Mytilus edulis: one gene and its partner. The protein of the gene in region 2 purifies or fractionates together with the protein of the main gene of each other region. This does not show direct contact. Links are inferred from orthologs where the notes say so. Each region holds a gene or a part of one and is shown on either strand. Other genes may lie near its edges.

What was found. Proteins that work in one complex are often made in the same cells at the same time.
Region 1: the proteins of condensin-2 complex subunit D3-L-like (region 2) and structural maintenance of chromosomes protein 4-like purify together in Homo sapiens (co-immunoprecipitation; 3 studies listed by BioGRID and IntAct, with this or other methods). This does not show direct contact. The link is inferred for Mytilus edulis from reciprocal best matches to the Homo sapiens genes NCAPD3 and SMC4.

What each region holds. Positions count from the first base shown.
Region 1 is NC_092346.1:88,614,495-88,622,270, forward strand, and holds the start of structural maintenance of chromosomes protein 4-like, read left to right. Parts: upstream 1-4,761; 5' UTR 4,762-4,830; coding exon 4,831-4,903; intron 4,904-7,776. Other genes in the region: UDP-glucuronic acid decarboxylase 1-like, read right to left, coding at 1,592-1,673. UniProt on the Homo sapiens protein: Central component of the condensin complex, a complex required for conversion of interphase chromatin into mitotic-like condense chromosomes.
Region 2 is NC_092350.1:38,287,504-38,294,681, forward strand, and holds the start of condensin-2 complex subunit D3-L-like, read right to left. Parts: upstream 3,008-7,178; 5' UTR 2,969-3,007; coding exon 2,905-2,968; intron 1-2,904. Other genes in the region: 2-amino-3-ketobutyrate coenzyme A ligase, mitochondrial-like, read left to right, coding at 5,465-5,510, 6,738-6,952.

The sequences.
Region 1 (7,776 bases), on a different chromosome or scaffold from region 2:
GTTCATTTAAAAAATGATAATATTATATTTTTTTCAATTTCAGAATTCATAATTTTCTGATTACTTATTGATTTAACTATGACAGAAATTAATCTTCCATTTTGTGGGTCTCATAATTTTCATTAGTATTCATTTTATTTTTCAGCTTGTTTAACACTTGAGATTAAATGAACATTTTGAAAATAATAATAAATATAAATACATTTAAAAGTTATACATGTTATAATAACCGTATACAGTTTTTACATGTACATGTCTTATCACAATACTTTATAAATAAAATTTATATTATACGAAAAAAAAAATGTTCAGAGGACCCGGAAAATAGGGTAAAAACTCTAATTTGACATTAAAACTAGAAAAAGATCATATCATAGGGAACATGTGAACTAAGTTTCAAGTTTATTGGACTTTAACTTCATCAAAAACTACTTTTACAATGACCAAAAACTTTAACCTGAAGCGGGACAGAGACACAGACCAGAAAACATATAAATGCCCATTATAGGGCATAGAAAATTGATTTGTTATTATAATGGTAGGTCTAAATGGGGGCATCATCATGACAAATAATGGTAAATTTTTTCCAAAATTAACAGTAACGATAATTATTTGAGACTGATGAGAAATCTGGACAAGGATATTTTGAGGAATCATTGTAAAATTTTAACCTATTTGAAGCTAACAGTAGCAGAAAATGATGGTTTGACACCTAACGGCTAAGGGCATTACTACTGTACCCTTACTAACGGACCTCAGTATGTATGTATGTACAGGTAAATGCCTCCGATATCCGAAGAACCCCTCGAAAGCTGCGAGGGTACAGTGGCATCCATGTACACTCCCTAACGGGATTAATGGAGATATGTCACTAACGTATATTTATACGACAATTATTTTTACAAGGACAATCAATCCCCACACAACACAAAGGGAGTGCTAGGACACCAGGAAGTCTATTATTATGGGGGAGGAAGCCGAAGTACTCGGAGAGAACAACCGGGTCACTCGGTGGAAACAGACAAACCAGAGAGATATCAGAAGATTGATCTCCAGGTCAAAGTAGGGGGACAACTTTGACCAACCAAGGCCCCCAAAGTACCCATTCTAGTTTAAACTCCGGTCTGGGTACATCAGTATGCATCTGGTGTGATTCAAAAGACTTTCTACTGTTCTAATAACCTTTGGCTTAGTCTGAGATTACTCTGACGTCCAACAGCTGTTTTACCAGACAAGCTAGGGCCGTGGATCGGACTACCTTTGGCCTTGGTTAAACAATAGTCAAGTTTCCCTTTGTCTTTTGGACTTGATTTACAAAAAAATGTACATAATTGTGAAAACAGAGAATAGAATATAATATCTATCTATCTTCCCGTCAAGGAGAAGTTATACATTGTATAATATATTTTGTATGTCCGAAAATAGTTCAAGTTGTGCCAGTTGCAGTATGTCCGCACATAGATGTAATACCAAGATGAAGATGGATATTACATCTATGGTCCTAAACATCTTGCATCTGAAAAGAATATTTTTAAAAGGTTGAAATTAAAGTTGGGACGAAAATCATATAAGACTGTTATATGTAAATTACCTATCAAGATGAGACCAAACAGTGTAATTGCCATGAACTTGTCTTTTACTGTACAATTTCTAAATGGATATCTAAATCTCATATTCGTCTCTCTCCTCTCTCGGTGTTCTAACAAGGAAGATAATCAAGATTAAACCGGAAGCTAGCATTTTGACCAATGCCTGTCGGGAACCACTAATGACAGGACGATTGCCCGGATAGTGACAGGACGGTTGACCGGACGACATATATATAGTCATAACTTTTTTGTTATCCGATAGATTTGTTTAATATTTGTAAACCTGAAAGATATTAAACTATATTTTATGAATATAAAAAAAAAAGAGGAAAAATAATTATTTTTGAGCAAAAAAAGTTGACCGGACGGTATTCACACTTGCCAATATACGCTAAATATATATTCAACTGGTTGACGACAAGTGTTAATATCTCTTTTGTTTTACAATATTTGTCCATGAAACTCAGGAATCTGTGAGATTTATAAATATATTATACGAAAATATAAACTTGATTGCAAAAAAACGTGTTTTTCTCAAAAAAAAGTTGACCGGACGGTATTCACCCTCGCCGATATACGCTATATATATATTGAAATGGTCGACGACAAGTGTTAATATCTCTTTTGTTTTACAATATTTGTCCATGAAACTCGGGAACCTGTGAGATTGAATAATATATTACACGAAAATATAAACTTTAGGGTAAAAAAGAAAACAAATCTGCAAAAAAAGTTGACCGGACGGTATTCACCCTCGCCGATATACGCTATATATATATTCAACTGGTCGACGACAAGTGTTGATATCTCTTTTGTTTTACAATATTTTATCATGAAATTCAGGAATCTGTGAGAATAATAAATATTGGATACGACAATATAAACTTTATAGTGAAAAAAAAAGTTTGTCTCCAAAAAAAGTTGACCGGACGGTGTTCACATTCGCCGATGTACGCGTTAATTATATTGAACTGATACAAATAAGTGTCAATATCTTATTTGTTTTACAATATTTTTACACGAAACTAACAAATCTACGAGATCAATAAATACTTGATATGAAAATATAAACTTTATAGTAAATAAAAATGTTTTTCTTCAAAAAAAGATGACCGGACGGAACAAACATTCGCCGTTATATGCCTTAATATAAGTTGGTAGACCCAAGTGTTTATATCTCTTTTATTTTATCAAATTTATGAAATCTGAGAGATCAATAAGTACTTGATATGAAAATATAAACCTTATATCAAATATGTTAAATGTTGTTCTTAAAAAAAAAAGTTGATCTGAGGGAATTAACATTCGCCGATATTATTATTTAAATATATTGAACTGATCAACACAAGTTTTAATATCTCTTCATTTTTATAATATATCTGTCCATGAAATGAAATAATTTGTGAGATTAGATAAATATTTTACAAGAAAAATAAACTTTAAAGTAAAAACAATGAGCCCAAAATGTTTATGTGAGCGAGTTCACCAATGCATATTAGAAGTAATGATATTTAATCAAATTAATCTAATTTTGACACTTGTTGTAATCACCAATCAAGCCAAATAACATGTCATTAAAGTTTTCACACCTGAGACATCAAATACATTTAATTGAATTACCTTATAATCAGTTGGTAATTAGTATCCAATTAAAGAAGAAATTTTATGAAGTTCAGGATTTCAGATTAACATTTAACTCACCTAATAATAACTATTCAATTGTTCAGTCATTTATGCTCTGACTTTCAACCAGTTCAGATCACACAAATTATATTTCTACTATATTTTGCTTTTTGCATGTCTTTTTAAAGACAATTTTCAATATATATTCATTATTGAACTATTGATATAGATAGATTGATAGTTGTGTTACTATCTATATTGCTTTATTCAAAAGCATGTCTTTTTAAAGACAGTTGTCAAACATATATTTATAAATACAAAAGTAAACAGATTGATATTAGTGCTACTATATATTGCTTTATTTAAAGGCATGTCTTTTTAAAGACAGTTGTATAGCCATCATATTAGTACAACTTACCAGTAGACAAAATATCAAAATGGACAGTGGGTCTATTGTCTATATGCATACAGATGTATTACATCAAACAGAAATAGTAGATATTTAATAATATGCTATTAACAATATTATAACCAAAGAAGAGATATTTTAGTCTTGTGTCGATCAGTTCAATATATTAAGGCATATATCGATTGAATGTAAAATCCGTCCGGTCAATTTTTTTAATTTTTTTTTTATTATTTAAATATATAGTTTAATTTTTCGTATAATATATTTATTCATTTCCAATGTTCATAAATTTCAGGGACAGATATGGTAAAAAAAATAATATTAACACTTATGTCAATCAATTTATTATTATTAACATATATCGGCGAATGTTAGCTGTCCGGTCAACTTTTTTTTGAAGAAAAATATTTTTTTTATCATAGAGTTTATATTTTCATATCATATATTTATTTATCTCGCACATATCTCAGTTTTATGAAAAAATATTGTTTACAAAAAAAATATTTACATTTTTTGTCGCTCAGTTCAATATAATCAACGCGTACATCGGCGAGGGTGAATACCGTCCGGTCAACTTTTTTTGCAGATTTGTTTTCTTTTTTACCCTAAAGTTTATATTTTCGTGTAATATATTATTCAATCTCACAGGTTCCTGAGTTTCATGGACAAATATTGTAAAACAAAAGAGATATTAACACTTGTCGTCGACCATTTCAATATATATATAGCGTATATCGGCGAGGGTGAATACCGTCCGGTCAACTTTTTTTTGAGAAAAACACGTTTTTTTGCAATCAAGTTTATATTTTCGTATAATATATTTATAAATCTCACAGATTCCTGAGTTTCATGGACAAATATTGTAAAACAAAAGAGATATTAACACTTGTCGTCAACCAGTTGAATATATATTTAGCGTATATTGGCGAGTGTGAATACCGTCCGGTCAACTTTTTTTGCTCAAAAATAATTATTTTTCCTCTTTTTTTTTATATTCATAAAATATAGTTTAATATCTTTCAGGTTTACAAATATTAAACAAATCTATCGGATAACAAAAAAGTTATGACTATTTATATGTCGTCCGGTCAACCGTCCTGTCACTATCCGGGCAATCATCCTGTCATTAGTGCAACCCATGCCTGTCTGCCTTACAAAATTTGTTTTGGGCGCCATTTTCAGATTTACAACAACAACAAAATTTTAAAAATGTCAGAAGAAATGGAAGTTGCGACCTCCAACGCGGAAACATCTCCTCAAAGAACGCTTAATCTTGAAACAGGTAGTTCACGTCTTAAAACACAAAAGGAGAAAACACATCAACCTTCAAAACCAGATTATTTTTCAAATCATCACAAATCATCAAATGTCATCAAAAATTTATAGAAGTTCTAGTTCATGTCTTTTCACCAGCTGCTGTCATACATTATAAAGCATATCATAACCATCTTGCTTCTTTTGGTATAAAAATAAAACAGCAGGGATTCTTAAAATTAAAGACCATTTTCGTCCATGCAGAATCCAGGTTCGTTCGCCCAAGGCTGAGATATAGAACAGTATAGATGGAGTATTATACACCTTAATGCTATTCCCAGCTGATCCAAGAATCTGTCCTGCGTGGACAATAGATGTCATACAACAATCACTTGTCCATTGTGGTGTCAGATTATTTCATGACGTCAATTTTTTTTTAGGTACCTCAGTAACCTGTGTCAAGTCCGACAAAGAGCAATAAGGTGTACATGTATTTGGGGAGGGAGGGGTCTCAACCCAGATCCCGCTAATTTTTTAGTGAGAATCCTGTATCCTGCTTCACGTTGCCATAATGGTGCATGTAATTTCCCGTGTCCTACAGGACTTCACTTAAAACAAATCTGTCCCGCATCACGGTTAGACCCCAATGAAACCCCTATAGATATGTTTCTGGTAAGCACCAAAAAAAAATGTTTGCTAATATAAAGATCAATTAATGGATATCACTACTTAGGCTCTTGCACGAAGAACATTATACTCCAAGATCAAAACTGGCATTCATGATACAAAGAAGCTCCAAGTTTGTCATCAGGTGTTGAAATAGTATAGAGGGATGGTGATATATATGTTTCCAGCTGTAGTCGCATGTAGAGTGGACCCAAGTGAACCCATAAAAAACAACATTTTTTGGATTAGAGTAAAACTAATCTGGGTACAGCAGTCTAAAGAAAGTCATTGCACAAAAAAAATCCAAGAACTTACTGATTTTTTACTTCTATTTGACCTGCAACTGGAAGTACAAAATGTAGTCATTTGTATGCATATTTCAAAGATAATTACAATCATTTATGATAAGTTGTATGTCTGAGGGTTTACACTTTTTTTGAAAGTTTTAGGCCTCTGAACTGTGTAAAACACTGAAGGGAAGCCCAATCCTGAAAACCCATTTTTAACCAATTTAAATTTTCCAAGTTCTTATTTGCACTCTCAATACACTGTATTACGGTCAGTGTTACGCAATATCTGATAATATAGTTTTACCTGAGCCAGGCTTATCTCAGCCTTATCGGACTATGTTATCATGTAATAGACTAATAGTGTAAATGATCATCAAGAAGATAGATATTTTCAGAAGAAAATTAAAAACTTCAGTGCAGAAATTAAAGAAATAACAATCAACACGGGTACGGAATCGCCGCGGCTTCTGTATAATGTCACTAGTAAATAATTCCAATGGTTTTAACTTTAACGAAGTTTGGTTTATATCTACCTGCCAAAGATAGGTTTTATTATAACAATAATGCACACGGAAGCGTAAATAAATGTCAAACTACGGAAACCACGAAACTTGTCAGCTGTTCATTAAAATATATTTTTTTTTTAAAGTTGTATACCAATTACGGTATCTTAACCATATTCGATTTTATTAATTCTGAATGAACATGTTCTCTGCAAACAACAAAGGGTGAAATCAAAGCAAAAGACATGATGGAAGTAGAAGTTTTTTTCAGATCAATGACTTCTTATGAAAAGGGGAATACACCTCCCTCTACACTCAGCTGTCAGTATAAGCAGATGTTATAAATGCTTCTCCTAATCCCAACTGAGCTAAGTTTTAGCAAGTGATAACAGCAAGCACCATGTTTCTGGTTTCAGTGACAAGTGACTGACTGAGTTTTCATGGCTTAGAAATGTTCAGGGGGTATAAGCAAAAGTTATTATGAGAGGGGGTTTTCAACCCTGAAGAGGATTAAGACAACATTGAGGAACAGACTGTCCAACAAAATAACACTATCTTGAAACAATATCCCTAGAAGTAGCAGAGAGTACAGAGATGAATATTTATATTTTGACTTCTTTAATTGACTGAATATAAATAACTTTTGTGTTTAAAATCAATTTATTTCATATAGTATATTCTTGTATAAATTCAATAATACTCTGCATTATTAAACACACAACACAAAGCAATATTGCATGTTATGATTTATGACTGATTGATTCAGATCACAAAAAGTTCACTATAAAAGGGGTTACACGCCCTTTAATTTTGTGCCTTAAAAAATCCTGGGGAGAACACTGAAATAACCTAATTCAAAGCCTCCTTAATTATTTGACAAGGCCCTGTTTAGTATGTACGAGTCTACCTATTGCTGTCAAATGATGAGTAATTTTTAGCACATTGATATATTATTAACCATGGTAACTTGGGTATCTCCATCTGGCAAATCACTTATGAATTCTTAGTGAGCCAGCTGCTTTTTCTTGCTGACTGACTGATTACCTTGATTTAGATCCTAAGCTTGTTTACACGGAAATCCTAGTCAGCAAGTTTGTTTTCTTATTGCTTATTTCTCATATTTTTTTAAGGAAAGTCCAACAGTCAGTGAGAAGATGAAATTTTCCTCTACATCTACATGTTCATATACATAATTTATTATTGACATCTGGAGATCACGAATATCTTTAATTGTTTTTACATAGGCAGTAATGATAACGTTTTTTCCTGTAGCTCAGTCCATATCGTAAACTTGGATATGTATGATAGCTCGTTTCGAAGCTGTGACATTTTCACATATGTGGTTAAATTTTCGGGGTACGAAGTGAGATTACTTTTTTCGTAAATTACCATACCCTGAACCAGTGATATTGTTTGCCTTGAATTAGTGGAGAATAAAGGCT
Region 2 (7,178 bases):
GTCATAAAACAGAAGTTTAACATAATTTAAAGACAAATAACACAGTAAAACAATCATTCATAATATTGAATCACTTTATAGGTTTTAAAAAAATACATGAAAATTAATCTGAAGAAATATGGTATTGTAATTCTGATTTTATTTAGTAGATAACTATCGAATTAAAACATTTGGTTTTCATTTAGAATCAAAGATGTATGTTGCATGAAATTTGCAATTTTAATTCATAAAAACCATTTTTTAGTTGTTAATGTTTGCCCCCAATTCTTTCTTCAATGTTTTACAAACAGGTACACAACTTCTTGTTGTCGATGCTGCAAATTGTTGATTCCTAAATATGCGAATTTTAAGCATGGTGACTGATGCGAATTTCTTCTTTGTTGTAATGTAGGCCAGCTTAGGTGTTCAAGCATGGCTGTTACACTGCTTTGATACATTTGTAGCTGTATTGATTTAGTATATACCTGGCAGCTTTTCTCTGTATCATTTCAATTTTTTTGTATTTGTTGTTTCTTCCATGGGGGCCCAGACAACACTACACTATTCTATTTTTGGTCTGACATACGTTTTGAAAGCAAGTTCTTTTGTTTTTATGCTGATCATGATAAAAGTATCACAAGACTTGTAAGTCTTAAACCATTACAAAAATTATTTAATATAGACTTCTAATATTGATGCAACACTTGACCTGCAAATTTATTTGTGACACTTGATTCTGACTTAGCATTTTTTATTGTCCAACATTTAACTTTCAAAGCAATTCTTTGTGACGTTGGATATTTTCTATTGTGATGTTTAATCATTTTTTATAAAAACTTTAGTGATTCTATTAAATTAGGGGGCATATATGCAGTCTGTGCCAAACTGTTTTTGGGTTTGTCTGACCAAAAGAGAAATTTTAAGTTTTCTACTATATATTCATAAAAAAAATCTTTAAAGTTCTATCTAACCGAATGATTTTTGTCTGACATTTTGGTCTATATCCTTATTCTATCCTGTCATTTCCATTTACGGGAAAGAATGAAATGGCATATATATTTAATGTTGTATATCATGTAGCGTGAAATTATGAATAAAGGAAAGACTGCACTGCCCCTATTTACCTGTATTTCTTACATTATTAAACGAAATAAACTTAATTACTAATTAAGGTCAGATCACTAATATCGTTTTTTTTGTCATTAGAGTTATAACTTTTATTACGAAATAAACCAATATATAGATTGTACCATATTTATTGAATGTGTATGCATAATACGGCATAAAATGAGAATCAGTAACTGTATATACATGTATACAAACATATCTTTAAAGACAAAGATTAAATAATAAATATCGTTTATTTCGTAATTAGAGTATTATAAATAAACTTTGTTACGAAATAAACCGATATATAGATTATAATATATTGATTGCATTTATTCATACTATACTAATACAGAATAGTTTAAACTATCACGTATTTGGCATCACAAATTGAATTTTCATATTTCTTTCCCCCCCAAAATATCTTTACCCCTTTTTTATAACATCTCCCCAAAGAAAACCCTTTCTTCAACTTTTATATAGATTAATTAATTATTCTTTTCTATCCCGTAATAAGATACACATTTCTTATATGAAAGACACTTTTTTTTATATAGAAATCGTCTTCTATATCATGTATATATATATACTGATCCTCATTCTATCCCGTATTTGATATAAAATGACACTTCTTTATTGAAATCGTCTTATATATACTGATCCTCATTCTATCCCGTATTTGATATAAAATGACACTTCTTTATTGAAATCCTCTTCTATATCATGTATATGTAACAGGCTATTATTTGAACTTGGAATTATTTTTAATTATGGAATTTGCTTGATTTCTTGTTAGTGAATTTTTTTATAAATTCCATGTTTATTCTGTACTGAAATGCTCTGTGCTGCGCACAACACTTTCTATTACAAAGAAAATACTATATTTTCAATAGAATGTACTGTGCCGCGCACAACACTATCTAACCAAAATACATTGTATGGAAAGTTTTATTAACCGCTCAAAAGATTATAATACCACATTAACATGGAATTTATTAAAAATTTTAAACACAAGAAATTATGCAAATTCCATAATTAAAAATAATTCCAAGTTCAAATAATAGCCTGTTATATACTGATCCTCATTCTATCCCGTTTTCAATATAAAGATACTTTTTTATTGAAATCGTCTTATATATACTGATCCTCTTTCTATTCCGTATTCAATATAAAAAGACACTTCTTTATTGAACACTTTTTTAATACAGAAAGACACTTTTTTTTTTATTGAAATCGTCTTATATATACTGATGCTCATTCTATCCCGTATTTAATATAAAAAGACACTTCTTTATTGAAATTGTTGAATATTACGGGAGAGAATAAGGATCAAAATAGTACACATCTTATGACAGATATAAAATAAAATCTTTTCTTTATTCATATAAAAAAATAGCGTAGTTTATATTGCAAACCAGCATTTTTCTTCAATCCCATACGGGATAAACAAGATATAGCCACATTTTGTTAGTAGAAAGAGTTTGGGATACACTGATATATATATTGATAAGGGCATTGTAGCGAAGGCGCAACTTCAAGCTTGTTGACCACAACAAAGAAGTCTCTTTTGTATTTTTAGTGCAAACAGGGCCATTTAATCTAGTATTTGACATTTTTTTCTCATAAAACCAAGATCTTAATAAAGACTTTTGTATTTTATTGCATCCACTTCGTTCTTGAAATGAAATATCTATAGGGGTCTGGTTTGTGTGTTACGTTTTCTAGCTCTGAAAAGAATTTAAATGTTTCACAAACGATTTCTTTATACGGATATTTGTATTTAAGAGATCTCAAATACCGTTATTTTGAATTGTTTACCATTTGTAAAGTTTTGTAAGGATAATTTTGCAAAAACTTCCAAGGTTCGTTCTAAGTCCGCCATGTTTTGAATTTTCCGCCAAACATTTACTTCCGGTATATTCTAAATCGGGACCGACTGACGGACATATGTTTCGGAAATGATCAGAAAAATATTACCACCTTCAAAGCCCTCCCTACCCTCAGATGAATTCAAGATAAAAATTTAAATCGTGATCACTGGGGAAAAAAGTTTTTTATGAGTTTTAAATTAATTTTCTAAATTTGAAAAAAAAATTAGATTTTTTTTACAAGAAAGAGCGTTGAGATGACCGTATTGAAAATGATTTTCTTGAAAAAGCAAATGTTTCAACCCTACAAATGAGACTCATCAGGACACCGGCACTTGATATTTGGCTCATTTATGTTTACAAAATTTACATCATTTTAAACAAGCCAAGTTAACATTCATTAAGATATAAAAGCAACATCTTGGAAATACGACAGGTTAGAACTACCAAATACTGAGACCAAATATGATGATAAATCTAAGAGAGCGATGTCGCTGATAAAATGAGAAAAAGGACAGGACCACCATGAGGTGTATTCGAATACTTGTTTTCTAATTCAAATACCTAATCAAAATAAGAAGATTTGGTATGATTGCTACTGAAACATATCCTCAGCAGAGATGAAATGACTTAGAATTTATCAACTGTATATATATAGAGAGAGAGAAACTAAGGGGGACAGATGCATTTTCGACTGTTTTTCATAATTTTAACCGATTCAATTTAAAAAAAAAAAAAAAAAGGAGAGGACATTGACCCCTCCTTTACAAAATGGCATTAGGTTTGATTACATATGACGATTATTTGTTCCAATTTTAATGAAAAAGTGAACGATGATGGGTTTTTTTAAATTTGATAAATATACCTTAGAAAATGCCGTTTTTTTCCCTAAAATCTTGAAACTTTGTTAACACTGATTAAGCATATTTATGTAAAGAAGACTTTCATATTTTTTTTTACCAAAATCCACCTGTGTATAGCTGTTGGTATTTAAAAACAAGTTAGGTGTGTCTATCCAAAGGATAGAAATGTTAAATAAAGACCCGAAATTTTGAGTAAATGGTCCGAGAACACAATTAATTCGTAGTGCATTTCTTTTAGAACATAAATGAAAATAAAAAAAATCCCACCTGCGCTTTCTCAAAGAAACTTTTACAGTGTGTTGTACTACTTTTGGGACAAATTATATCAAATTTATAGAAAACTTCATCGCCTCTAACTCAAAATATGGCCAATTTTATGTTTAGGGCGTCTTGAAATCTTTTGACAGCTTCCGAAGTGCTCATTTTCAACCTTTTTCAGCTGGACCAAATCACTACTTTCCTTTAAAATTCTGGACCCAAATTTTTTTACAGTGTAATTTCAACCCCCTTCTTGCAATTTGAGGCAGTGAACATGGAGAAATAAATTTGGAAGGGGTATAAAAATTAATGGCAAGTAACCCACTGTCAACACTAGGGACTATATTTGTGAACAACGAAAATCAAGGGACGACAATGGTGGTCTCGGACCAAATGTCTAAAATTTCAACTTCTTCTTTGTCTTAAAAGGCAAATGTTTGTAAAAAAAAACACCTATTTCAAATTATATGGGGAAACATTGACAATATCGACAAAACGAATGAAAGAAATTGGCTCAGGGTGATTACTCTTGACTACGAAGAAGTGTCTTTCCAACTTGCTGTAAAATGCCATGAATATCTGACCCTGAAAGTTTTTTAAATCTTTTAACTACAGACTGCTCTGTATGCTGTATTTTTGTGATAAAGAAAATTCTGTAGTTTCCTAAAACCTTGTGAACTTTTGACAAAGTTACAATGCCAAAACAAACCCTATCACTATCGTGAATCCATTTACTATATTTTAACAGGACATTGAATTCCCCCATGTGCTGATGTTATATTCAAAGCTATACATGTCACTACAGGGAACACTTGAAGGAACAGTTAAGACTGAGACCGGCACAACTGACGGAACAACGAGGGTTGGTTAAAAAATGTGTTTATGTTGAAAATGCACACCTTTTATTTTCATCATATGTCCTTTATATGGGTTTATTAACACTAAAAGCATGCAGTAAGCCCGTTTATTCAAAGACATATGCAACTTACCATATGCTTTAGTTTTTATATATATTGTTATCTTATCTTACAAATCACAAAACAAAACTGCCTATCTAACTTAAAAAATTTACAACAAAATAAATCTACGCATTCTTTATTATTTGATACAATGAAAAATCATTATTAAATCATTTTTTTATATAAAAATTTGAAGAATTCATTCTATTTTCCAAGTAGAGTTGATTTCACTCGACTTCGCATGTTTGAAAAATCCCCTACAAGTAAACTCAATGCGCAAGTCCAGACTTTCCTTTAATGACAAGTAAACGAAGCGTTTCAAAGAACATGTAGTGAACCATAAATAAAATACATATTTAGATATTCCTTTATCGGATTGGTTGAATGTCACACACCTCTAACAGGCTGTTGTCATTAACCATATTGTGCAATGGAAAAAATCGGGGATTTTGTACTTAAAATATCTAAACGTCATAGTAAGTCTATATTATATTTTTTTAAACATTAACATTTCAAATTGTTTATATAAACCATAGGGTAGTCAATAATTCTTTAACTTGTAGATTTCCACAATCCCTTTACCTTACTCGTGCAGAAGTTAACAGAACGAGATGTTGACGGTTAACAGTTTGATTCCGAGTCCCGTTTCGCATACAAAATAAAATCTATAGCGTTAAAGTTTTTTAATTGCACAAACTGAAACTTTCATTTAGCTTTTTTCACGTATGCACTAAAGAACGCATATATGCAGGACTTGCTTTATATACATATATGTTAACCTATAACATTTTTTCCAACAGATGTGGTGTGAATGCTTTTTCTCTTCTTATTTCATATATAGGTTTACGTACATATTTGGGCAATTTATACACTACATTCGAGTATAAAAAAACTTGTAATTTTATAACCAAGGTCAACATGGAATTTAAATCACAAGTCACAACAAAGACATTTCTTAATTACTTTCTTTCAATGCTTATTCATTCAGGGATTTATAAAATAGTTCTAACATTAAATAATATGAAGTCAGAAATGAAAATAAATATTGTATATTTGTATTTATATCTGTCAACAGCTGTCAAACGTTTCATGCTTGTTGGACAGGATCGCTAAATCTGACACAATATGTTTTACCTTCACTGAAAGCATGGAATAACATATTGTGATATTTTCTTCTACACGGACATGGAAAAGTTTTAAATATTCGTAATGGTTGAGTAGACCTATATACTATATATGCATAAAGCATGCCACTATTCATAAAATACACAACTATTATGTTTTATTCGATAAAAATATGATCGTTATATTCCGGACCGCAGATGATGTAATATCTAACAAACGGATATAAGCGAAATTTAGCGTAAAAAGACAGGCAATTAGTAGAAACAATGGTGGTATACCGACATTTAGCCAGTGCTCAAATAAAGTTATGGGTGTCTCTTGGCATATCTTAACAACAAGCAAATAATGCTTTGGAAAACGGAATCATTCAATCATTGCACAAAACCTTAATTAATCGACTATGCATACTTCCAAATCTGATGAAATACATGCATTGTCATTTTGTTTCTATTCCTTCCCATGCATTTATCATTTAGCAACTTAATATGAGGTCAAACCAAATTGTGTTGAATCAATCTAACATGTAGAGATAAATAAATGCATGAATATTATTCTCAAATACTAATTTTTCTCTTCAGATCATCGCGCTTTAAAATATTTTACAAGAAAGAGATCTACACAAGCTGCAGCTGCCGTACAACAAGATCTGCAGCATGAACTAGAGGGTATAAAAGATGCTGGGACGTGGAAGGGAGAACGTGTCATCACATCTAAACAAGGCCCTACAATTCACGTAGCAGGATCTCAAGCAGACATACTCAATTTCTGTGCAAACAACTACCTTGGTTTGTCTGTACGTAAATTGCATGATAATTAAAATTATAGAAAAAGAGGATATCAGAAATCACAAAAAAGCGGTAGTCGTTACAGACTATACCAGCAATCACAACTGATTTCTCAGCAGACAGACAGACAGTCAAACAGACAATTAAACAGACAAACAACGAACAGGACACGGTCCAAATAGTATGACTTGTCACTTACACACAATGTGTTGGGATTATACCTGTTTTAGTTGT